Drosophila melanogaster: one gene and its partners. The protein of the gene in region 1 interacts with the protein of each later gene in a pairwise test. Each region holds a gene or a part of one and is shown in the gene's direction. Other genes may lie near its edges.

Region 1 (10,126 bases):
ATCAGAGTCCCAGGAACACCTATCAGTGTGCTATGGGTAAGCAGGCGATGGGAATGATTGGCTATAACCAGAAGAACAGGATTGACTCGCTGATGTATAATCTGGTGTATCCCCATGCTCCTATGGTGAAATCCAAGACTATCGAGCTTACCAACTTTGACAAATTGCCTGCTGGTCAGAATGCCACTGTGGCAGTTATGAGTTACTCTGGCTACGACATCGAAGATGCGCTGATCTTAAACAAGGCGTCGATAGATCGGGGATATGGACGCTGTCTGGTGTACAAAAACTCAAAGTGCACTGTGAAACGGTATGCGAATCAAACCTTCGACAGAATCATGGGTCCCATGAAAGATGCGCTGACGAACAAGGTTATCTTCAAGCACGACGTTCTGGACACTGACGGAATTGTGGCTCCAGGCGAGCAGGTTCAAAACAAACAGATCATGATTAACAAGGAAATGCCCGCGGTAACATCGATGAATCCGCTGCAGGGTCAGTCTGCACAGGTTCCCTACACCGCAGTACCCATTAGCTATAAGGGTCCCGAGCCCAGTTACATCGAACGCGTTATGGTTTCCGCCAATGCCGAGGAAGACTTTCTCATCAAGATCCTGCTGCGCCAGACACGTATCCCCGAGATCGGGGACAAGTTCAGCTCTCGGCACGGACAAAAAGGCGTGACTGGGTTGATTGTTGAACAGGAGGATATGCCCTTTAATGACTTCGGCATCTGCCCGGATATGATAATGAACCCACACGGATTCCCCTCCCGTATGACAGTGGGTAAAACGTTAGAGCTGCTCGGCGGGAAGGCTGGTCTCCTGGAGGGCAAGTTCCACTATGGAACTGCGTTCGGGGGCTCCAAGGTGGAAGACATTCAGGCGGAACTGGAGCGCCATGGTTTCAACTACGTGGGCAAGGACTTTTTCTACTCCGGCATCACAGGAACACCACTGGAGGCCTACATCTACTCGGGACCCGTGTACTACCAAAAACTGAAGCATATGGTGCAGGATAAGATGCATGCCCGTGCCCGGGGACCCAAGGCGGTGCTCACCCGTCAGCCGACGCAGGGCAGGAGTCGTGAGGGTGGCCTTCGTCTGGGCGAAATGGAACGGGATTGTCTCATTTCTTACGGAGCTAGTATGCTGATCATGGAGCGTCTGATGATCTCATCGGATGCCTTTGAGGTGGATGTTTGCCGGACTTGCGGCAGGATGGCCTACTGCTCCTGGTGTCATTTCTGCCAGTCGTCGGCCAATGTCTCTAAGATATCCATGCCGTATGCATGCAAACTGCTCTTCCAGGAGTTGACCAGCATGAATGTGGTGCCGAAAATGATTTTGGAAAACTATTAACGATGCAATGGCCTGAAACCGAATAAAATAATTGTTATATAATAATAATGGTTAATGATGGAAACTAGCTTAGGTTTTCCAATATTTTTGTAAAAACGAATGGTGTGTGAACTCTGGCAAGGGCAAAAATCCTACGCATTCATTAAGTTTCCATGACCGCGAGCTGCAAATGTCAAAATGAAGAGGTTCAAACGAAGTCAGCGAAAGAAAGTCCTCTTGAATTTTAACGAGGTCCTTTTGCATATCAGCTTTCTGTTCGTTAACAGGCAGACGCAAGCTGTTACTGAAAAGGACTGAGCCGTGTTAAATCGCTTATGTTATCCTTTTTTTTTATTGCGCAAAGGATAATTAGTTGTGTCTGCCCTTTTGGCCGAATTTAAAACGTCTGTGTCTGGACAAAAGATTAAGTTGTTAAGATGAAATGTTTTTTGTTATTCTGTTTCTTTGTTTGCTCTTTGTCCTTATAATCCTCTATCTTATGTGTATTTTGTTTTTTGGCTCAGTTAAACTAAACATTCTCGAGCGGCTTGATGCTTCTTAGTAAAACCAATATCGCCAGGCGTTGATTTATTGTTTTCCCTCGATATTGCCTATTGCCTGATTGCCCGTGAGGCAATTACCTGTCACCTGGCTTCGAGGTGGAGCTCAACCCAGATTCCGGCCGATGTGTCAACGTGTCCGTGGTCAATGCACCGCGGTGCATGCACGTGACCTGCGAACTGCAGGCGACACAGCCACCCACACAAGCCAATGTCCTTGTGCGTCCTTTCGAGTGACCTGCGCTTAAAATAGTCACAGCTACCACCCACTGCTGCTTCTCCTCCGCAGGACACGTAGAAGTTACTATGTGCAGTGCAATGACAGCAAACGGGGCAAACTGCCAGCAGCAGAAGCAGCATCAGCATCCGAGGAACCAATGGTGCGCACTAGGATGACAATTTAAGGCTGCCCCATCTCTGATCTCCCCCATACTTGCATGCCCACCTCTTTTCCGGGCTATTCAGTACCGTTTTATACGTGGAAAAACTTTTGAGAATTATATAAAGTTAGTTGATATTCGTATGACTAAAAGAAAACTACTCATTCCTATTTATACCTACATACCTTTATCCTTTATGGAATCCATTTGCTCAATTAGGCGCTGATAAGTATGCAATAAGTTATAGTTTTTATTAGTTTTTAGTATCATAACAGAATCTTTATTTTTCGCCGTGCACAAACTGATGAGAACCCAATCTGGGGCCACCTTCCGGCTTTGGCTTTCCTTTCATGTATTTTGGCCATTTGTCAAAAGTTTGCTTTTTGCTCTTCTTATCTGGACGGTTCGTTGATGTGTGCATGGCAATAGATGTATATAGATTTAAATGGGTGTTGGCCACTTGTGTAGAAAGTTAAGCGTAGTCCAACTGCTCTTTTGGCCGGGTTCCAAGCGGGCGAGGGGATTTCGAATTGACAACACCGGATATCATTGGGCTGATAATGCGCAACCCCTCCCAATGGACTAATTGAATCCGAAAGCACCTTCCGATGGAAATAGAGATTAGATTGCTGGAATCACCTTAACTTTTCAGCCAGGATTGTTCCAGCAAACTCTTTGTGTTTTCTAGGGACTAGGCCACAGCCAAATGTTAACATATTCAGCGAGAGAGAACGTGTTTTTGACTATGTTTGTTTTCTCTTTGTAAGCTTTATGTTTCAATATATTTAAAATTCTAATCTGTTTAGTGTTTTCTTTTAGAAGCACATTATTACCTATTTTACAAAAAATTGATACAATATTAATTAATTAAATAACCAAAATCTACAGGGAATAATTTATAAAAAAAAAAATATAAAAAAAAAAAGTGTTAGGCTTCAAAAATATGTTTACTTATCATGATTAAAAAGAAACATGGCCAATAGGACATAAAACAAATATTATTTGAACCTATCAGTTAACATTCATTTAAAAGCGAGCACTCGCAGTTCGAACTCAACATCTGTTAGAAGCCCTTTCTCTGCGTATAAAAGGCAGTGCTTTTGAGCAAAACGCGCTCATTTCAAAACCGGTGCTCATCGCAACGAAAGCTCCGCTGCGGAGCCGAGAAAATATTGTTAATTCCCATTTGAAGTGCAGCTTGTGGAAGGAAATTCCAAGTTTGTTTGTTCGGACGCCGAGTGCAAGTGCAAGAAGCAAGCGAAAAGTAATCAAATCTATAGAAAAGTCATTTAATGTGGAGCAATTAAGCCTGGAAATAAAGTGCATAGTGAATAAGTAATTTAGTTGGAGCAAACAAAGCCATGGAGACTGCAGCGAACTCGGGCGACTCCAAAAAGCCTTTCAAAGTGAGTTCCCCCTGTAATTGTAAATGGAAATAAAGGCCGCAGACGAACAATTGCATTTTAAGTGCATGCATTATTTTCCTGGCATGTCCATTTTTGGGCGTTGTTGTTTTCGCCTTTGTTGTTGTTGGCCGCGTGCTGCGTTCGCTACTTTTTTTCCTTTTTTTTTGGATTCTTATGGAAACTGGGTTGAACTTCAGAACTCAAGAGAGCCAAAAGCTCAAGCTAAGAGAGTGCCGAAAGCTCAGTAATAAGCATTAACTGCCTGAAATTTGACTTTGCAAATTCAAAAACACTATTTAGTTGCTTTCTTTCTCTTTGTCCTTTTTTTTACATGTTTGTCTAGCTTTGCATTTGCCTTTTGATTCGAGTATTGGGAATTGTTTGCCTTTAGCATTTGTTTTACTTGACTGCTGGGCCATTGTTTCCTGTTTAATTTGTTTATCTGCCGCTTAAACAGCAGAAAGCTGTTTAAAGTATTATGGGGATGTAAAAAACGTGCTTAAGGTTGCAGAAAACCACTGGAAGTACATGCAGCTGACAACTCAAAGGAAACCAATAAACCACAAAGCTATTTAAATTGTCTGTGAAACACAGAAAACAACTTTCGTAAAACATGACTGGAGATAACATCCAGGAATTCCCTCCCCCACTTTATCCATTAAAATGCCGCTCCTTATTAAAATATTTAATTCAAAAACCACCAAACGCAAATCGGCTTAAAAGCTGTCAAATACCATGACAGCCATGAAAATGCCATTAAAAAGGGAAAACTTTTCATCCCGACATGTCGCTGTAATTAGCCAACAGCCACGCCCACGACCCGCCTCAGGCATTTTGTTAATAATTTATTAAACAATCTACATAATGCCGCGGCATAGTTCAAAAGCAATTTAAAGTTGTCGCCTAATTTCCCCAGCGACTCGAAAATCTGCGGCCTACGCCCATCAAATATTAAAATGTCCTGCGACTTGTGGATTCTGCCCGCATCTTGGATGCAGATGATAGAGTTCCTGGCACGTCTCCTTCGGCTGCTCCTAAAACGGAGCCAGACGCCGGAGGTCGTTGCACGTTCATCTACGTACGTATGTGTGGACCAGGACCCTCGGGTCCTGATGGCTGAGCAGCTCGAGTTAGTTGAGATTTATAAGCCCTCAACTCGCTGCTGCTCTACCAATTTGCCCAAGTCGTTTTGCATACACTTTTGTGTATAAACTGGTCTTCTAGAAAAACACTTAACTGATTTCATCTAGACTTTCACATACATTAGCCTGAACTTGTAGTGATGCTAGTTTGGAAATTTGTATCTTAAACAGTAGCAAGTAGGTAACATTTGTGTTTGCTCATTTCAATATTTAAATATTATTCTTATATTTAAATATTAAAAAATAAAGTTTTACTTACCACGATGTGCCAAAAATTTGCTCTTAATGATATAACCTAATAGCATTTCCATTCAAGAAACAACTTGAAACACTTTTGAAACATGTTTACTTTCCGAATAAATCTTGTTTCTGATTTGTATAAGCTTTGTATAATTTTGCGGGTAATTAGATAAACTGCTAATTGAATTGCGACCGCTTGAAAAATCGACGCCACTTGAAAAATCAACTAATGCGATCGACTAAAACTTTTGACAAGTTTCCGAACAAAAACTATGCTTTTGTTTTCGATGCTGCCGCGACTCCCACTTGTCAAATGCGCCAGTAGTTGGGCAAAGTTTTCATTGTTACAAAGTTCTAGCCCCACACGCCGCATTCATGATATGATTAATATTTGGAGCTTTCGCGGCACAAAAGTTATGTGGCTTTAAGTATTTATAAGATAATTTAGGGACGACCTCCTCCGCTATCTGAGCAAATGGAATTGGGATGATAGAGCAGCTAGGCGCACGAGTAAAATGAAATGTTCGAAATGCAAACTCGAGTACAATTTCATTTAGTCACGGTGCTCTCAAATATTCATGAAGGACCTCAAGGAGTTGCACGCTGTCCGACGTTTCGGGGCTATAAATTCTGGGTGGAATGCATTCGTGCCGCTTGCTCCCTTAAAGTTGCGCCTCCTTGAGCCTCCATCTGGACGGGTCTAATTTATGTTTCGTTTAACCTTAGTGCTGAGGCATCATTTAACATCGCATGCAAGTTTAATAGAGCCAAAGGCTTGCGTCCTTCGTCCTTGCAACCGGCGAACAGCACTAACCTATGGCATTCGCGAAGGAGCATGCAGCATGAAGAATGCTGACATGCATAACTTGTCAAATAAAAAGAAAATTTAAAAGGATACGCCAGGGAATCGGGGAGTGGGAGATAAACGACAAATATTTGCACCGCAGCTGCTAGAGTGCATGTCAAACTGCGTTCGAGATCTCGAGCAAAAGTAGAGGAGCTCATGGAACTCGGCATTCGCAACTGAAATATGCACAAAGTCGTCGGGCTGTGGGAGGCACTTTAAGGTGGTGACATCCCCCACCGGGAAAAAGCCGTCCATAAATCTCAATTAGAGCAAATGGACATTTGACAGCAGGACATGACGTGGTCGCAAATATTGCGTTCATTTATTCATTGCGATTTTTCGGGGAATGGAAAACAATCAGCGTCGAAATGTGGTTGTGTATTTATTATTTAGCAACTTGCGCTACTATTTATCTTTTCTCTTTGTTTAATGGAATTTTCAAAGATTGCCTAATTAAATAACTATAAAAACAGGGTAAAGTTTGCGTTGAAAAGAGAAACAGACTGAATAATTAAGTGCAAGCGGGAGGATAATGAATAAATCAGGCGGAAAGTTTCCATAGTTTCTCCATTCCGTTCACGTTGTTGTCTCAAGAAAAAGGGTGCAGCTAAAGGAAAATTTACAACTTTTCCCATTTCGATGTTTTTCCGTTTTCTTATTTTGGGTGCCGACGATGTGAATATTTTATAGGACCTCAGTTGTTTCCCATCTGACATTAATTTATTATTCATTTGATGAGCGGGGCCATGTGTAACTGCTACTGTCTCCGTAATTGCAAACGTGTAATGGTTTATTATTCCCTTTTCCCGGCACTGTCCTTCTGCGTTTTTATGGCCAGGTCAAGGACGTAACACGCAACATTAAGAAGGCTGTCTGCGCCTCCAGTCTGGAGGAGATCCGCAGCAAGGTGGCGGAGAAGTTCGAGAAGTGCGACCACCTGCCCACCATCCACCTGGACTCCGACGGCACGGAGATCGATGATGAGGAGTACTTTCGCACCCTCGACGAGAATACGGAACTGGTGGCCGTCTTTCCCGGAGAACATTGGATCGATGTGAGTAGCCCTTAAATAAAAGGAAAAGGAAAACAGGCACTTAAAAATAATTATATCAGCACCTTTTTTATTTAAATCACCTCAATAAATTCGTTTTGCGATTGTGTAATTTTCATTTCTCAAAGTGAACACCGCTTAATTGGATAGCTCATTTTATGTGTCCCTCCTTTTATCTGCCATAATGACTAATTGCATTATTTCTTGAATGCCATGAAAGAGCTCCATGAGCATGGGACCAAAGCCAGGAAGATTAAATTAAATGCTATCTGCACTCTGTTTATAGCCCACTCACTACGTGACGATAACCACTCCACATGGCAACGAGGCAGGAACTGGAAACGGAGAGCTGAACGGAGGAGGCGAGGGCGACACCACCGATGCCAACAACTCGGAGTCGGCTCGCATCCGCCAGTTGGTGGGCCAGCTGCAGAACAACCTCTGCAACGTGTCCGTGATGAACGATGCCGATCTGGACTCACTCTCCAACATGGATCCCAACTCGTTGGTGGACATCACGGGAAAGGAGTTTATGGAGCAGCTCAAGGATGCGGGAAGGTGAGTTTAATTCCTTTCCCATATACCACTTAATTGTAGCATGATTTCATGACTTTAGGCCATTGTGTGCCAAGCGGAATGCCGAGGATCGTTTAAATCTGCTGAAGCTATTGAAAGCTGGTGCCATTTTCTGCTCGGAACGTTATCCCGAGGATGCGGAGGCCATTGACCGGGAGATTGGACGGCAGTTGAACGAGGCGGAGAGTGGACAGATGAGCACCACAACGACGAGCAACACCCGCACCATCGAGGTGGTGCAGTGCGACAATCAAAACACGACGATAACAATTACGGTGGGCGAGGCCACCACCACTTGCGCCACAGCCAGTGGAGCGATGGGATCCTCCGCTGCCGAAGCGGCTGCCAATGAGGCCAATGCCAATCCAAATAGAAATCCAAATGCCAACGGCGACATCTGACTGCCCATTTTGGGCAGTCTTAGGTAAAGTCTGCCGGCGGAAAACTAACGCAACTGGGTGCGCCAATCAAAATCAAGAGCCAAAAGGATATACCGAAGACATCAGTCCTGCAACATTGGGTTAACATAAATCGTATTTGTAGCATGTAATTAGGCACTGCGAAATCAGCAAAAACGAAACGGAGACGAAATCAAGTCATTGAAAATGCTTCATAGTATCTAAGAGCAAATGAAAGTTAACGAACAATACACGTACTAGATTTAAACACCGGGTCACGAGGCTCAAGAGAACAAGAGGCCCGCGCAGATTTGAAAAGTCTTTTAGCAATCACAGTCAGCGGAATCGTATTTAACCGCATATACACGAGTCACACCAAGCCGTACTAGATGAATAATAATCAAAGGTTAGCGAAATAAGTATTATACTTGAGGTAGAATCCCACAACCAGAGCGAACCCCAATTGGATGGAGTTGTCCCAGGAAACTGTTGATTTGCTTACCGTGTAAATTGTGTTACGAATAGTAGGTAGAGTGGAAACGCACATCAAATATTGTTTTTAGACCAATGCCATTGTGAATGTCATTCGTTAAAGGCCAATTGAGACTGACTGAATTTATGTGTAATAGGTTTTTTCGTGGTTTGAGCGGTTCGGGAAAGATCGGATGGAAGCCTCCAGCGCTGCTGCCCTGTCCTCCCAGAATCCCCGTCTTCCCGCCCCCGAATCCATAGCCAAATGAATTTAAGCGACAGCGCAAACATTGTTAGCTAATTAAACAATAATGGAACACAATAACGCAAATTGCAATTGCCCAATCAAAGTTGGTAACTGTAACTGTCTACAATTCGAATAAGCAATAAGGGAAACCGTAAACGTAAACGAAATCTAAAACCGAATGCAAACAGTGAACAATTATTAAATATAGTGAAAAGCATACAGTAAATGCAAGTGAAAACCCCGAGGCAAACTATATACACGAAACCAAGTAATAAATAAATGATTATTAAACTAAAGTTGATTGAACTAGCATAACTGGCAAACGGGGCGTATGCGCAACGCACAAAGCGTGTGCAACAGGGCGTATGGACTGCATCCTGCTCTTCCGCTGGCAAAAGAGAGTTTCCCCTTCCTTCACCGCTTCTTCCATTTCCCTTTTTTCCAGTTCGAGAGAGCAAGAGAGTGGGAGTCCTACACCTGCTGCTGCCATATAATTGCATTACTCGACGCCATTCTCTTTTGCCATTCAACTTCCTTCGTGACGTCACTGCACCATGACGTTTGCAGGTCCTGGCTAGCTGATTGCGATGGCCTACTAACACAGTTCAAAGCTCCCGGGTGACCCAAATTCGTGACGACAGCGCCCCACAGCAAGGGTCTCTTTGTGGGCGTGGCCCTGGCTTTGATGAATTGAATCCAGCGTCCTGTGGCCTTTGCATACTCAATATCCCCTACTAACACAGCACATCCCTTTTTCGGTTCCCATTCCTTGGCTGCTCTTTTAATTTGCGCCCTCGACGATTTTCATCCTGCTGGCAGGGGAAAAAAGAAAAATCATGGGGCGAAAAGTGCCCAAAAATATTAAAAATGTAACTGAAAATCGCTTTGACTGCTTTTGATGTGTATGATGGCATTTACGGTGGGCTGCCTGGCCAAGAAATTGTCACACACACTTGAGTTTGTAATTCTTTTGATGTTGTCCTGCAGATTAAGAGGAAGTGCCGGAAGAGGAAATGGAAACTTAATCGAAAGCAATCTGAGCTTCGAGCGAACCGATTTTGGTCCTTTGAATAAAAAAAGACTCTTATTGAAAATTATTCAGTAGTCAGGCATTTTATTTAACAAGTCTAGTACGAATAATTTAGATAAAAAGTTATACAATTAGTTAGAAAATTACGTTCAAGTAAAAATCTTAAGACTTCATTTCAAGTAAATTTTGTACGTTTGTTTCCTAAACGTAGACAACAATTTTTAACACGGTAATTTCGAACGCTTCATAGGTTGCTTGCGGTAAGCACCACCAAGTACTTTTCTGGACGAGATCCGTTTCACCTTGAACAATCGACCATCTATCTCGGCACATGAGAAAAACTTGGTGCGGGCCGGAAAATAGATCGTGACAGTTCCGCACTTGGTACAGTTCACAGCGCGATCTCCGTAAAGAGTGCTTTTCCGTTTATGGATCCTT
Region 2 (6,947 bases), on another chromosome or scaffold:
ATGACTGTTTTCAGTCTTGTATTATTTGTTTTATTTCGTTTCTTTGTTAAAACCCAAAACATTGAAATGAAAAAATGTACAAAAATGTAAACTACTTGTAACGCGTTTTCCTTCAAACATATCTGAACCTTAATCCATAAATTTATCGCTTTAGGAAATGCGTTTTCAAAAATCTTAAGTTTTTATACATTGTCACCGACAAAATCTTAGTGAAACCGGTATAAATAATCCCCTCATGAAATGAATAAGCAGACCAAAGAATGGTCGCGAGCTCGCCTATGTAAGCCTAAGGATAATCTTACCACCGAAGCGGGAAAACGAGAACGCTTTGTGCCGTCCTGCGAGCTAGAGGTAACTATACATAGTTGCTTTTGATTTAAATATCTTAAAGTAGTGGATTTTTTAATAATTAATTTAATACCTGCCCTTTGAAAAACCCACATAAGTAGGCAACAAAATAAATTCTCAATATAGAGCGAGCACACCTGGTTCCGTTGTCAATAATTCCTAATATTTCTTACATGCTGGTAATATCTTGTTGCTTAATTTTTTTTTTACAGTGCAGTCCGGTATCGATGTCGCACTTGATTGGCTGGGAGTACGCTAGAATTTGGCTGCGCGATCGCGACGAATTTGTGCAGCAACGCGAACGTGCTGTCAAAGCTAAATACATCAAGAATGACTTCGAGTGGTGGTTAAGGCTGCGAAAAACATCGAAAAAGTTCTGCAAAGTTGGGGCATAGAAGCGACAAAATAATGAGGACAGCGAAATTATTCCTATTCCATTTTTAAGGGAATATACAGTTATTAAAATAAAATATTTTCATACCCAACTTTACTTGGTTAGTCCAAATATTTGTATAGCCCTTTAAGGAGTTTATTATGTTGTAACTTGGATAGAATGGATTCCAGAATAGTTCCGGAAATGACTTGAAACTGTATTTCCGGCTTTCACATTTAATTTACATTTTAGCGTGGACACCTACCGCAATGGTTTGGTTATATGCTAACGCTTTCCTTAAGCTCTTGTAAAAGTTTTGTAAGTACTAGTGTTATACGGAGATTTTGTTAACAATTTCATTGAAGTATTTACATACGTAAGAATTTCAACAGAAATGTATCCTCCCAGTCGGGTTCATTTAAAAGGATTAACGGTATTTTGAAAAATAAATTATACAAAAAGATTTACAATCTATAACGTAGCTTAGAAAATGAATTTCAATTATCATTTTATTATATATTTTATAGAAATTGACTTGAATAATGTGGTGTCCATTGCAAAACGGATTAGCAGGACTAGACTTATATTACGAGTCATTTTTCGATTCTCCCACTTATGTATATTGTTCAATTGACCTTTGATAATACAAAATTGCCTAGATTTCAAATAATATTACGTATACTAAAATTTATATATGTATGAAGTTGTTAGCCAGTTTCTTTCTTTTTTTTTCCATGAAATATTGAAATCTTCCTTCCGTTTTGCTTTGAAGTTCAAGTTATTTATTATTTGTTGTATTCTGCAAACAGCTGTTTGCATTTCGGCCGGCGTCGCAAAAGCAACAATTTTCAACCGCGTAAAGCTTTTGGCCTCTTGAGCCATAATTTCATACAGGTTGCAGGCTTGGAAAAATAACTCAATCTGGACTCACCTACTCACTCTCACTCTCTCCCTCTCCCTCTTCCAACCTTTCCTTTATTCACTCACTCTCCCACGCGATTTTTGGAACAAAAACGACGGCAGAGGAAATGCAGCGCAGTCGACGCCAAAAGGGATATTTTATATTATATATTAAGCCCGTCCTTAAATATGAATTTCCCAATCCTATTCTTATTCAAATTATAAAATGTATATTTAGCTTTAAGTTTAAAATATTGTTAAGTCGTACTCGGCTTCATTACGTAAATATCTTATTCATATAATTTTTGTACACGTAGTGTCACATGATAGAGTAATCAAATAAATGCATTTGGTAATAAGCTGATCTTCTGGACATTCAAATAACTATGCTCAAAAACCTTGCTGGCCCTTGATTCACTTAATAACTCAATTTTAGGACTTTCAGTGGGTGGAAATTTCCCTGGCACCCACGCAAACGAACGGGTTAAAAGATAGTGAAAAAGAGAGAGCGCACGAAAGCAACAATTGCTTACTCTTATGCACAAAGAAAAAATACTAACAACTTCAATTTTTGCATTGAATTACATAGAATTCGATAGAAAAGCCCAGGTCAAATAAAAAATTAAAACAATAATTTAGATAACGACTTATTTGATGTTAGATATTAGATTTAATTCGGTTAATGGGTAAGTTAGAAGAAATAATGTAAATTTTTGCATTGCAATAATGAAGCAATGAAACAAGCTTTACGTTAACGTCACATGAACTACCGTTAGCGAGCGAACAGTGCAGAAAGCGCTCAAGAGCGCGGAGCATTCCAATGCGTTGGAGTAAGAGCGTGCAGAATTCGTGGGAGCAAATTGGCGCCCGAATCAGCCGCTTTTCGTAACTCACTCAATGCGAATTGTTTTCAAGCGCCGGAGAGAATCTATATAGAGGGGCTTCTCCGACTCGCTTCGAATATGTTTTTCGCAGCGCGCGCGTTCGCATCGGAAAATCAGAAAAGCTGGCAAGCGTTTAAAAACAAATTCGGCAGGTACAATTGTTACTTGTTTTCCCCTCAGTTGACTATTTCGTCGCAGGTTTTTGGCCAGCGGAAACCATCGTAATAACCGTTTATCGTTATTTTATTATATTCGCGTAAATCGTTGTTTGTTCAACCACAGAATACTTGTTGTTACGCATTTCGAAAATGGAAATGCGAAAATTTCCAAGCAGTGAAAATCAAAACGAATAAAATATATTGGCTGCTTTTCGTGTTTAGCGCGTACGTGTGTGTTTCTGTGTTAGTGAGTGCAGCAAGAAATAAAACCAAAAAGCAACAAATAAATAAATAGAAAACAAAAGCAAAATCAAATCCAAATTCAAAGGCAAATACTTGCAAAGTAAGTTGATAATATCAGAGTGTGGTGCTAGCATATGTTGCATTATTTTGCCCAGCAATTTACATGTTTTTCACATTTTCTTCTCTCACAAATGACAACTAACTAATATGGATGATATTAACGGTGTTTAGAGTTGGCTTTTCCATTGAGAAATATGAAAAAATGCGTTCAATATGTTAGCGTACACACACACACAAGCGGCGGCTAACTGTTGTTTGTGTGTATGTGGGTGAATTGGCAATAACGCGCACGTGTATTAGTGTGTGTTTGTTTTTGTTGCCTTTGCGGCCAAGTGGCAGCAAAACGTTGCAAGCAACAAAAACAATAACTACGATGGCAAAACAAGTGCAGTCAGCAAAACCAACTCAACCAGTGCCTCTCGCGCTCTCCCACTCTCTCTCTCTCTAATACCCAAGCCCACCTCCTGCTCCCACACTCACCCTTCTCCCTCGCACCCATTGACGCAACTGCATGGTCAGGGCTTCTTTTACTGTTACAAAGCTCATGCGTGGACCCAATAGCAAAATGAATGCACGATGTACTTAGTTCATTAATTCCGCCAAATCAGAAATTATAATTATAAATGTACGAGTTTAATGGATTAAAGTTAGGTGTACGTAATTTTTTTAATTGTATGACCACTTTGGTGAAGCATAACCGTGGTATGAAGCTATTACAATTTCATGAACTTGGCGGCATAAACTTTGCAATTTACTATCTATGGTCGTCTTTGGATTTTTGGCTTCGCGCTTTTTGCTCTTCGAAGTGCGCTGCTCTCTTTGCGCCAAACAAAGCTCGGCCGACACTTGTCGCGTCTTTTGGATATCTGGCCTCCTCCCACCGCCCACTGCCTCTTTACATATATCTTTTACATTTTTTGCTTTCATACACTGAATAAAATTATGGGTATATACCGTACTATCAAATGTTTCTGAGTAAAAATTAATTTAAATAAAAAATTTAATTATATAATTATAAAATTATTATATAATCACTTGTATTTAATGTTGTATGTGTTGCAAATCCATTAATACTTTTAAACTTCTAGGCTTAAAAACAAATGTCTGTGAAAAAAGTGGAATTCTTGGAAAGTGTATCTCTTTGGCTTTTCCACCTCGAGGCGTTTTCGCTTGAAGCTTTTGCGAGTTTGGTTCGATTTCCATTTGCGTTTAATTGCATTTATGCATTTTTAATCGAGTTTGACTTTGGTGAGCTTTTTACTTTGGCATATGCTAGATTGTCGCCCAGACACACGGGGTTTTTTTGGGTGAAAATGGGCTCTTGCTGATCCAAAAGATAAGTTTCAGTTTCGTCCTTCTTGGTAGTGAGATGTTTGGACAAAGTTTTCTAATTGGCCTTGACGCCGTTTTCAGAGTTTTAGTGCTACTAAAAGGCAAGAGTGCGAACTTTCTGCGTCTTTAATAAGATAATTTATTTGCAATTATAATTTGGTTCATTAAAGTTAATTGAATTAAGGGCAGGCGTTACATTCCAACCAAATGGAATGACAATGGGTGTGGGGTTAAAGATAAAAGGATTTTAGTTAGTGAGGAATATATTTTGTGATAATAACGGGTAATTAAATTTTTTTTTATTTTAAACTGAACCGCTATTAGGCAATTTTGGGCATTAAATAGTTAAAAGCTTTAGATACACAGTTTCAATGCGGTATACAAAACTTCATTAATTTTCGATTAATCTAGTATTTTTATACTATAATTTAAAAACCTTACGTCATTTATTGTTTTAAATCAAATTTTAAATTTAAATATTTTAAGATATTCCACTTCTCCAAAGAGGTTTTTTTCGAACAATTTTTAACTCACAGCCAACAGCTGTTGCATCCTAAGCAAACATTTGTATGTTTAACTTAGTCCTCTTGAAAGCTCAATTAAAGTCGCGTGTATAACCGCCCACTACCCAGGGATTCTCTAAACTTCTACACTCCGAACACACACGCCAAGTTTGCAACTTGGCATATGTTTATCTGCTAATCATGGAAATGCGATGCGGTGTTGCAAAATATTTATCTAGAAACGGTTGACTAAAAAAGAGGGAAATAAGCGAAACAGCTTTTCAGCCAAACTGCAAATGGGAAAGCAGCCCCCTTACCGGTTTCCCACTTTTCCGGCACGGCGACCATATGCCAAAAAGCTGAACCAAAAATCGCACACACATTTGGGGATAAAACGCGATGCGAAAAAAGCATAAGTAGGCTGCTGTGACATTTCGTTGTCTGGGTATACGCTCATCGCGAACAAGGATACAGGAGCATTAGGGTGGAGCAATTTGTTCGAAGCTAAATATAAAAAACTTCAATATTGATTAAACTTGTTCATGCATATAGGACTTAAACTAAGTAAAGATCTGAACTAAAATTAAGTGCTTTTTTTTTAATAGAAGAAATATTAAGATCAGCTATTTTTGCGGACTGTTGATTTCCTTTTAGCGCTTAAACCTTTATAAGAATATACTTGGCATTTCAAGACTTTCGTAAATTCAGAACTTGGCTTAGATTGACGCACCCTGATAAAAGCACACTTATAAAGGCACACATTTGTATATCCGCACATCGGCACACACAAATAATTCGCCGTGCTATGTATGCCAGTATGCCGAAAAAAAGGGCAAGACATAGCTTCACCCGCTTTTGTCGCTGCCCACGCGTCACGGGCCGAAAAGCAACCACCCCACTAAGCAGCCCGCCCAACTAACCCACCGCCCGCTAAAACCACCCAACGACAAGCTCACCCACTCAGCCATCGTGTATGCCTTAACATTTACCTTGTTGGCCCGAAGTTGTCCACCAAACATTTGTTGCACTCTTCGCGTAGGAACCGCTTCTCACCATGCTGTTTATTCACCAGGCTCTCTCCCCCACTGGTTCTCTCTCTTGCTTTCTCTGCCTTTCTCTTTCTCTGTTTACATTGCTCTCTCTTTGAGGTAGCCGACGCCGGTCCGACGTCATCGCAAAGGTCAAAGCAAAGCAGCGCGAGTAACTATATAAAAAACCCTACAATTGCACCGGAAAAAATGGATTTGCATTCGAAATTCATAAGTTTATTTAAAATAAATATTTTATTCATACATCTTTATTTCCAACAATAATTAATGACAAAAATAAAATAGTATATTTAGAACTTGATTTCTAATAAATAAAAAAAAAAGAAATAAATATTTTAATCTCTAAAAATATTCCATATGAAGTATACAGTGATTTAAAAAAAGTTACTTTTTTGAAATCTTTTACAGTACAATATGGTGTAGAACTTGTTTGAGTGCATTAAAGCTTTTTACGAAAATTTAAGGGATCCTGTAACTGGTGGGTTGGCCATTCTAAATGCCTCGAGGGGCGGTGGTGCGGATGGCGTGTGGGTGACTTCGGTGGGTGTCCAACCATATGGTCAATTCAATGCACTGAGTAAATTGCTCCTTGGCGGAGGCAACGCTTCATTTGGTTTTCAAATTGAATAGGAAGCGTCGCGACATTGTCGGGCGCCTCGCTGCCACCCACTTTCCCGAATATATGTATACTCCCCACCGCCCTTGCATTTGAGGATTCGTCCTCCGCTAATTGAGACATTTGTCAGTTTGCGCAAATGAGCCACCATTTCTCAAAGGCACCCTCTCATTGGCCACGGGAATTAGGAGACGGAAAGTAAGGACTTATTCCCGACAGCAATTTCGTATTTTAATCGATTATACCCAATGGACCTATTTTAAATATTTAGATTTAAAAACGCTTTAATGAAATTTTATAAGATTTTAATATCTTTTCCTATTTTGGGCCAAATATTATAATAGAACGGACAAGAAATTTATCCTGTAACAAATATATGTAGCATTGGTTTCTTGGATGTTTTTTTTTTTTTTTTTTTTTTTTTGACAAGTTCGAATATCCTTTTGCGTGGCTTACTTAAAAACTGTTCGCTTAATCAGCT
Region 3 (7,312 bases), on another chromosome or scaffold:
TGCTGCGGGCGCATTAGCCGAAAGCAGAAAGCAAAGTGCAGCGGAGAAGGAGAAGAGGAGAGGAAAGCAGGGCAGAAAAAAAGTGATGTGAGTGGGAAGATTGCGGTGGAAAGTACTGCGGGTGGTGGGCGTTGCGCGCTTGGGGGGAGCCGAGGTCGAACGGATGTCCGGTCCCCATTGATTGGCCAGAGTCCCCAATGAAAGGAGCAGTGAGTGGGGTAATTTTATAGAGGCAAAGAGATACGCAGCAAATCTGCATAATTTTAAGTTTGTGTTAAGAAACTATGTAGATGGTAGAACGACTTTCCCCATTAACGTTTGGTGGCACAAATGCATTTACAAGAAAATGTTAGAGAAAATTCCTGAAGCAACTCGCACAAAAATTGTAAATAGCCATTAGTCGCTGTCAAAGCCAAGACTGTTTAAAAAGTGTTTACACATCCAGCAGTATTAACAATATTACTAACGTAATTTTGGCAAAATTTAACCGTTTCTAAGCGGTAAGATCTCTTGTTCGTTTGTATTTTTGTATATTGCCACCATACATATGTATATACATACATACATATGTACATATATATGTACAAACATCATCAAGCTCGGTAAGCCCTCCTAGTTCTACTTCTTTGTGCAGCAAATATCGGTTTTCTGTTCCCTGCGCAATCGTGAAGCTTGCCAAAATCATAGCAAACGGCAGAGCCGACCATCCGCCTACCGCCCCAATCCCCCGTTTTGAGCCACCCAACGCCCAATCCAATATTTCCCATTGATGGTTAAACGAACGGTCTACATCCACGCATGCAAACATACATACATGTGTACGCCTAGATTCATACATGCAGACAGACGCACACATGCAGGCACATGTTTAGTCGTGTTTACATAGCAAAGCGCGCACGAAACGGGGCCTTTCGTAACGCTCGCTTCTCACGCTGTCTCCCTCTTTCTCCCCTTACCCAACCCCTCGCACTTACACCCTCTCTCTCTCACTCTCGTACACTCTTCGTTCGCATCGATGGCGACTGACGATGTCGAATGCGTATGCCCACCACTACAGATGCACATTTCGCACACTTTAACCGTTGCACATAGCCTCGTACATATAGATTTATGTATGTATATGTATATACATATATATCTATGTACATAGTTAAGCATATGACTAAATACGAATACCGCACTATTAGAAGGGGGTTTACATGGCCGTAGAGAAAAAAAAAACAAAAAACATCTTCCACACAAAGTACAAGAAATACCCAAACACACTCACGCACAGCTGACTAATTAGCAAAGCAAAACACCAAAAATCAAAACCCCCACTCAAAATCAAGAGAGATGCCACGAAACAGGGAGCCCGTAGAACGAAAGAATTAAAGAAAGCCACGCACTGGAGAGTCTCGTACCGTACAAACTAAAAAGCCCGGGAGACACCTGAAACCAAAGCCGAGAGATACCAATAAACTGCAGTGCCTTCCATTGACACTCGGCTTTTGAATACCCTAAAAACTGATTGGTGTACTTACGTACATTCATATATAAATTGCGTTTCGGTTTATATTGTGTAATCCTATTACACACATAAGCATATGATTGAATGAAAACAAGTAGAACCTTTAATAGGCTACAGTTGGTTCTAAATAAATTGAAGTGGACATTGCATTAAGTAAAATACATATCACAATGTGTTTTGGCGCAACTGTACGTTTAGTTTTCGGGACCAAATAACACCTGTTTTGATCTGACTGTACTTCGCGGGACTCGTTATTAACTGGCAGTTAACTTTTTAGCCCCGTATGATGGCGGCACAATGGAATTTGACTTGGACTCTTGGACCTGGCTAATTAAATTTTTTTTTTTGGTAAATGTTTAGAGTCGGGGCGACCTTTTGGAGCTGCGCCCGTTCGTGAACTCGTGTATTCGTTTGTTCGTGTTCGTGCTCGGTCGTTCCCGGTTTTCTCTGCCTTCTGGAACGGGGCCTGTCTTGAAAGCCGCAGAGCGCGCGAATACCGAAAACTTCTTGCATTCGACGGTGCGAAAGGGACGGGGAGAGTGATGGCATGTGGGAAAGGGAGAGGGCTAGAGCGAGGAGAGGTGGCCATCGAATGCTAAGCAGGGGCCTTTGCTTTTGCTTTTGGTGCTTGCCAAAAATAGAGCCGCCCCGCCACGCCTTCGCCCACAAAGAGCACCCACCCACCCACTCCCGCACAAAAGCAACAACATCATCATCACACCACCAATACCAAAACCAATACCAATACTGTGACCCAGCCAGCTCTCTGTGAACATGTGTCAGTGTGTGTGGGTCTTGTATATAGCATAGCTTAAGCTTTCCTTGTACCGTGGTTCAAATGCCAGGGGAAAATGGCATTATTATATTCTTATAGAGAAATAATATATACAAATAAATTTGTACAACTGTATGTAAAGAGTAAACATGTAACAAGGAAACACTAATTTTAAAGTAAATTTAGCTAGTTTGCATTATTTTTTACACCATTTATATGAGTAAGCCACAAAGAAGCTTGCCTTTTTTGATCTGCTTGATTCCCAGATGGTGTTACTAAAAAATAATGCGAATTTGAGAGAAAGTTTAACAATAAAAAGTTCAAATTCGAGATACATATGTGTAGAGTATTTAAAGAACTTAATTGTGAGGTTAAATATTCAACAAATGGTAAACTTGTAATCCCATAAATTCGTATTATTTTATAAAATTTTACTTTCATACTGAATTGGCTAAGATCCCTTAATTAATTTCCATAAGTTGCTTATGTCTTAACCACTGTGGGTTGTAACTCTGCAGCTACGTTGACGTCGGCGTCGCAGCTTAGAGCTAGTCGATGAGCGGAAGGAGAGAGAGAGAGCAGGCGTTCGTCGAGGAGGGGGCTAGCCGAATAGGGTGAGAGAGAGCGATGGCAGAGTAGGAAAATGCATAAGAAGGGGGGTGGGGGCGCAAAAGGGAGACGGACAGCAGCAACAACAATTCGGCAAAATGTTCGTGGCAGCGTTGCAGCGACGCCGACTGCGCTACGGGTGTTTGTTTTTTTCTCTTTCGTGTTTTCCGTTTTTCTTTTGCGCTCTGCATCCGCTGCCGCAGTAGGCGTCGCTGCCGGCGCGCTGCGCCAGTGTGGGTGAGCGCACGGCTGTAGGTTTGTGTGTGTGCCGTACACATTTTTCAGTTGACTTCGTTGAAATAATTTTCGTAACAACGATCACACTCGTTTGTGTATTGCGAAGACGGGCGGACGTGCGTCGGCGTCGAATGCGGAACAAGCGCTAAAGCAAACTAGCGAAAAAGTGCGAATATCAAAAGAAAAGAGAACCAAACAAATTGTTTTTTTTTTTCACCACGAGCGTCGTCGCAAAAACAACAAAAAGGAATTTAATAAACCAAAAGCAAACGAGGAGAGAGAAAGCAGCAACTAAATATAACAACAAATGCATTAAATAGTTTTGTTTTTTTTTTTGCCACACTGCCAAAATGCAGTTAGCGTTTGTTTGTGTAAGTGTACCACATGCATACATAATGTATAATTTATATGCCAAAAACAACAACAGCAATAGCATTGTGTGCAAAATGTTGAAATGAGCTCGAAAAACAACAAAAATAAGTGCGCGCATTAACACACGCACACTTGCAAAGGAAAACATCTAAAAAAATTATCACGTGTGTGTGTGTGTGTGTGTGTGTGTGAGACAGCCGGTCAGTGTGACCGTTTGTGTGCCAGAAAGAGAAGGATCGAACAAGCCGGCTGTTTATTTCTTTTATAGTTCTGTTTAAATAACAAATACACTTGCCAAAAGAATTTCATTTTGATGTGTGAATAATTAAAAAAATCAGTAAGACATAATGCAGTCTTTGTTAAATATATATTGACATATATGAGCATATATATAAATACATACACAAATAACATATCAAATTGAAATGCTGGCAGTACCAATCGAACTGTCATCCTAACAAGTAAATTTTTCAATACAGCTCCTAATATAAAACCAAACCAAAAGTGTGGATATCGAAAAGTCTGGAAAAGTACGATAACGCAAGATTACATAGAGCGCGAGCAAGACAGCATTCTAGAGCAAAAGAGCGAGAGTGTGCGGAGGAGCGATGGCCAGCGAGGATGTGCAGATCACTAGCGTCATCGATGCCAATGGCCAGAGCCTACCGCTCCACGGCAACAGTTTGGGCGGTCCCCTGGGACCGCCCGTCAAGCAGGAGCGTCCCGATGACGCCGAGATCCGCGAACTAGCTGCCAAAATGAAGGAGCAGCAGAAGCAACAGGCCGCCCAGCAGGCATCCCGTCAAGCGGCCATGCAGCACTCGAATGGGGGCGCCATTGCGGCATCCTCGGCCGGTGGCAACATGCAGCCGCCGATCACAAATGGCAATGGCCAGACCAATATCATGAACTACCTATCTCGTCATCAGAAACTACCCAACGGCACCATGCAGGTGGTGCCCGCCTTGGCCTCCAATGGCCGCTCGAATGGAGCCGTCAGCGACTCCGGCTCGGACAAGAAGTCCTCCACGGGACCCTGCGACGAGGAGTCCATTCAAGGCCACTTCGGCTGGGCTCAGTTCGGCAAGGTATCCATACCGTACATCTATCGCCAATCGGAGAAGTACTGCTCCGTGCGCATGATCGAACTGAAACTGCTGGGCAAATACCTTAACTGCCTGCATCCGGATATCTACTCCAGCTGCACCTGCGTGCGCAGCTACTACATCACCGATGCGGAGGCCCGTCTCTTCATCGAGATTAATCATAAGCATTGTGACGGCGAGTTCGGTCGCGACATCTTCAACCAAAAGGATTTGGTGGTGCGTCTCAGTGACGCATCCAAGTTCTATCAGTTCCTGGATATTTGCTATAGGAAACTAGTCTCCGGCAGCAAGACGCCGTCGGAGAAGTGCGGCTTTATTCGCATCAACAAGGAGTCCGTGGTGCCCTACACTGTGCGCAACAATCAGCAGGTTGTGCCGCTCTTTTATTTTGAGGGCGAGACCGAGAATCTAAAGACCAAAGCGGAGCTGCTCAATGGCTGGGACCTGGCTTATCTAAAGTTCTGCTGCAAGGTGCAGGGCATACGCAATGAGCTCTTCTCCAGCGAGAACGTGGCCGTGATTTCGCTGACGGACATCAAAAGCTACTTCCCAAATGGCACCGAATTCGAGGACTACTGGCCCAGCAAGGTGGTTGACTCCAATCTGCTCATTGGCAATCGGGCCAATGTCAACAACTCGGTCAATTGGACCCGTCAACCCTCGGCGCCGCCTCCAAAAGTGACCACCTCCGTTTCCGGATCGTCCGGCCCTTCCTCCTCCAGCGGCGGCAACATGGGCCAGAACACATCAGCCGCATCATCCTCCGCGAACACCGCTGGTGGCCAACAGGTGACCTCAAAATCTCAGCAACAGCACGCTGCCTCTGCCGCCGCAGCAGCGGCGACGGCGCATCAACAGCATCTGATGAAGCAACGCGCCGCCGCAGCAGCAGCTGCCGCCGGCGCCAATGGTGTGGCGAATGCGGCAAATAGTTTTGGGGCAGCCGCGGTAGCGGCCTTCAATTCCCAGGCGGCGGCAGCGGCGTCGATGCTCCAGCAGTCGCAGGGCAACAACAGGATGTTATCGCAGGCCACCGTCCAGGCTTTGGCCAGCAGCGGATGGATGTCCGGACAGACAAACCTGCAGCTCCACGCCCAGATGATGGTGAGTTGAGCACTAGGCTAGCTAACGTTTTCCTCCAATTAATGCACAATGTTTATCAAACTTTGGGATATCAAAGCTATTAGCAAAGTTTGAGAAGTAATGCCCAATCGTAATCTGGAATATAATATCAACGTTGCTATGGTATCATTTATTATACCCCAGCTACTGAACAATATTATAGATACAAGATTCTTTACACTCAACCGAATTATCGTTTTTCAAGCCTTATCTAGAAATTCGAGCCTACTTTAGAGTAATGCGAGTCGGTGTTTATGCAATGTTTGTGATATACATTAATCCAGCTCATTTGTGAATTGGCATTTTATTTTATTTCGTAAAATTGTAAATGGATACTTATTTATCACTAAGAGCTACTATTTTATACTAGAATCCTTCGGCTCAAAATCGAAATGAATGACATTTCCGGTACTTAATTGGTTTAACAAATTGTCTACCACTCCATACATTAGTAATGTCACACCCAATGTTAAATTACTTCTATTTTAATGGTATAGTATATTATAAAGTTCAAAAATGAACTGCTTAGAATGGCATTTAAAACTAGTTATTTGACTACCATTGATATAGAAAATCCAGGCCCGACTTTGGTGGAGACCAGTTCGAAAAAGGTGGAAATGGGATGTATTGGGGGTATTTTGGATGTATATGTGTGCGTACGGAGGGATTTCTCTAGAGAGTGCATGGCCGTGTTTTGTTGGCCTTGCTTGTAATGATACACAAACTTACATATGCTAGGCAGTACATATGTACATCGTACACATATATAAATCGCTGTTTGTGTTAGCGTGCTTTTTTTTTCTAGCTGATTTTTTCGCAGTTTGGCAACAGCGCAGCAGCAGCGTTCGACGGCATCAAAAACTAGGTCACCAGTATAGTGTGCATAGGAGAGTGGCTCCATCTCCCTCTATGCCCATCCCCATCTCTTTCCCCCCACTGGTGCCCTCTCTTCCCTCTTTGGGATGTGCATATGAGTGTGTGTGTGTGTGTGTGTGTGCTGGCCACAACCTGTTGATGTTGCTGCTGTTGTTGCTGCCACTACAGTCGAACTTCTATAAAGTAAACTTCCTTTCTCACGAAAGAAAGATGTTTGTTTTACAAACATTTCACCATAAATTAATTATAAATTCATAAATTTATAATTAATTAAAATTCATGTGTGTTTGAAATATTCTTAATATATCTAGAACTTGAGGAATTTGTTGTGACCTTCAAAATTAAAATCGGCCTCTAACACATAAAACGTAAACAAAAAAAAAAAAGAAATACAAGCCGTCTAGATACTCGCTATGCGTAATGGCAATCTTATCAAATCGGAGACCTAAAAACGTAGTTCTAATCGCCTACGAAATCGTTCACATAGCACAAAAAGTCTTTAAGCGTCTAATAGTCGCAATTTATTAATCGATTGTTGTTGCTGAACTAATTTGCAGTGCCAATAACTTCCGCCTTCTTTGCATTCATAATTGTTAATTATGCACAACAATTCGCCATAATTGCACACATGGTAAAGTAGGTCATCACAACGATTAACTAGTGGGTTATATTAAATTAACAAATCAAGAGCAAAAAGGATGTAAA

The links.
Region 2: the proteins of Drep1 (region 1) and mtgo interact in a two-hybrid assay, tested with the Drosophila melanogaster proteins (one large-scale study listed by BioGRID).
Region 3: the proteins of Drep1 (region 1) and CG43736 interact in a two-hybrid assay, tested with the Drosophila melanogaster proteins (one large-scale study listed by BioGRID).

The regions. Positions count from the first base shown.
Region 1 is NT_033778.4:12,041,223-12,051,348, forward strand, and holds Drep1 (DNA fragmentation factor-related protein 1), read left to right. Parts: upstream 1-3,389; 5' UTR 3,390-3,641; coding exon 3,642-3,686; intron 3,687-6,753; coding exon 6,754-6,969; intron 6,970-7,252; coding exon 7,253-7,524; intron 7,525-7,582; coding exon 7,583-7,943; coding exon of another isoform or gene 7,944-7,970; 3' UTR 7,971-8,950; downstream 8,951-10,126. Other genes in the region: Polr3B (RNA polymerase III subunit B), read left to right, coding at 1-1,361; CG30039 (uncharacterized protein), read right to left, coding at 9,910-10,126.
Region 2 is NT_033779.5:16,542,433-16,549,379, forward strand, and holds the start of mtgo (miles to go), read left to right. Parts: upstream 1-2,583; 5' UTR 2,584-3,006; intron 3,007-6,748; exon of another isoform or gene 6,749-6,918; coding exon of another isoform or gene 6,919-6,947. Other genes in the region: CG31816 (uncharacterized protein), read left to right, coding at 241-351, 561-743; CG5968 (uncharacterized protein), read right to left, coding at 6,919-6,947.
Region 3 is NC_004354.4:6,865,279-6,872,590, forward strand, and holds the start of CG43736 (uncharacterized protein), read left to right. Parts: upstream 1-2,948; 5' UTR 2,949-3,502; intron 3,503-3,982; 5' UTR 3,983-4,111; coding exon 4,112-5,713; intron 5,714-7,312.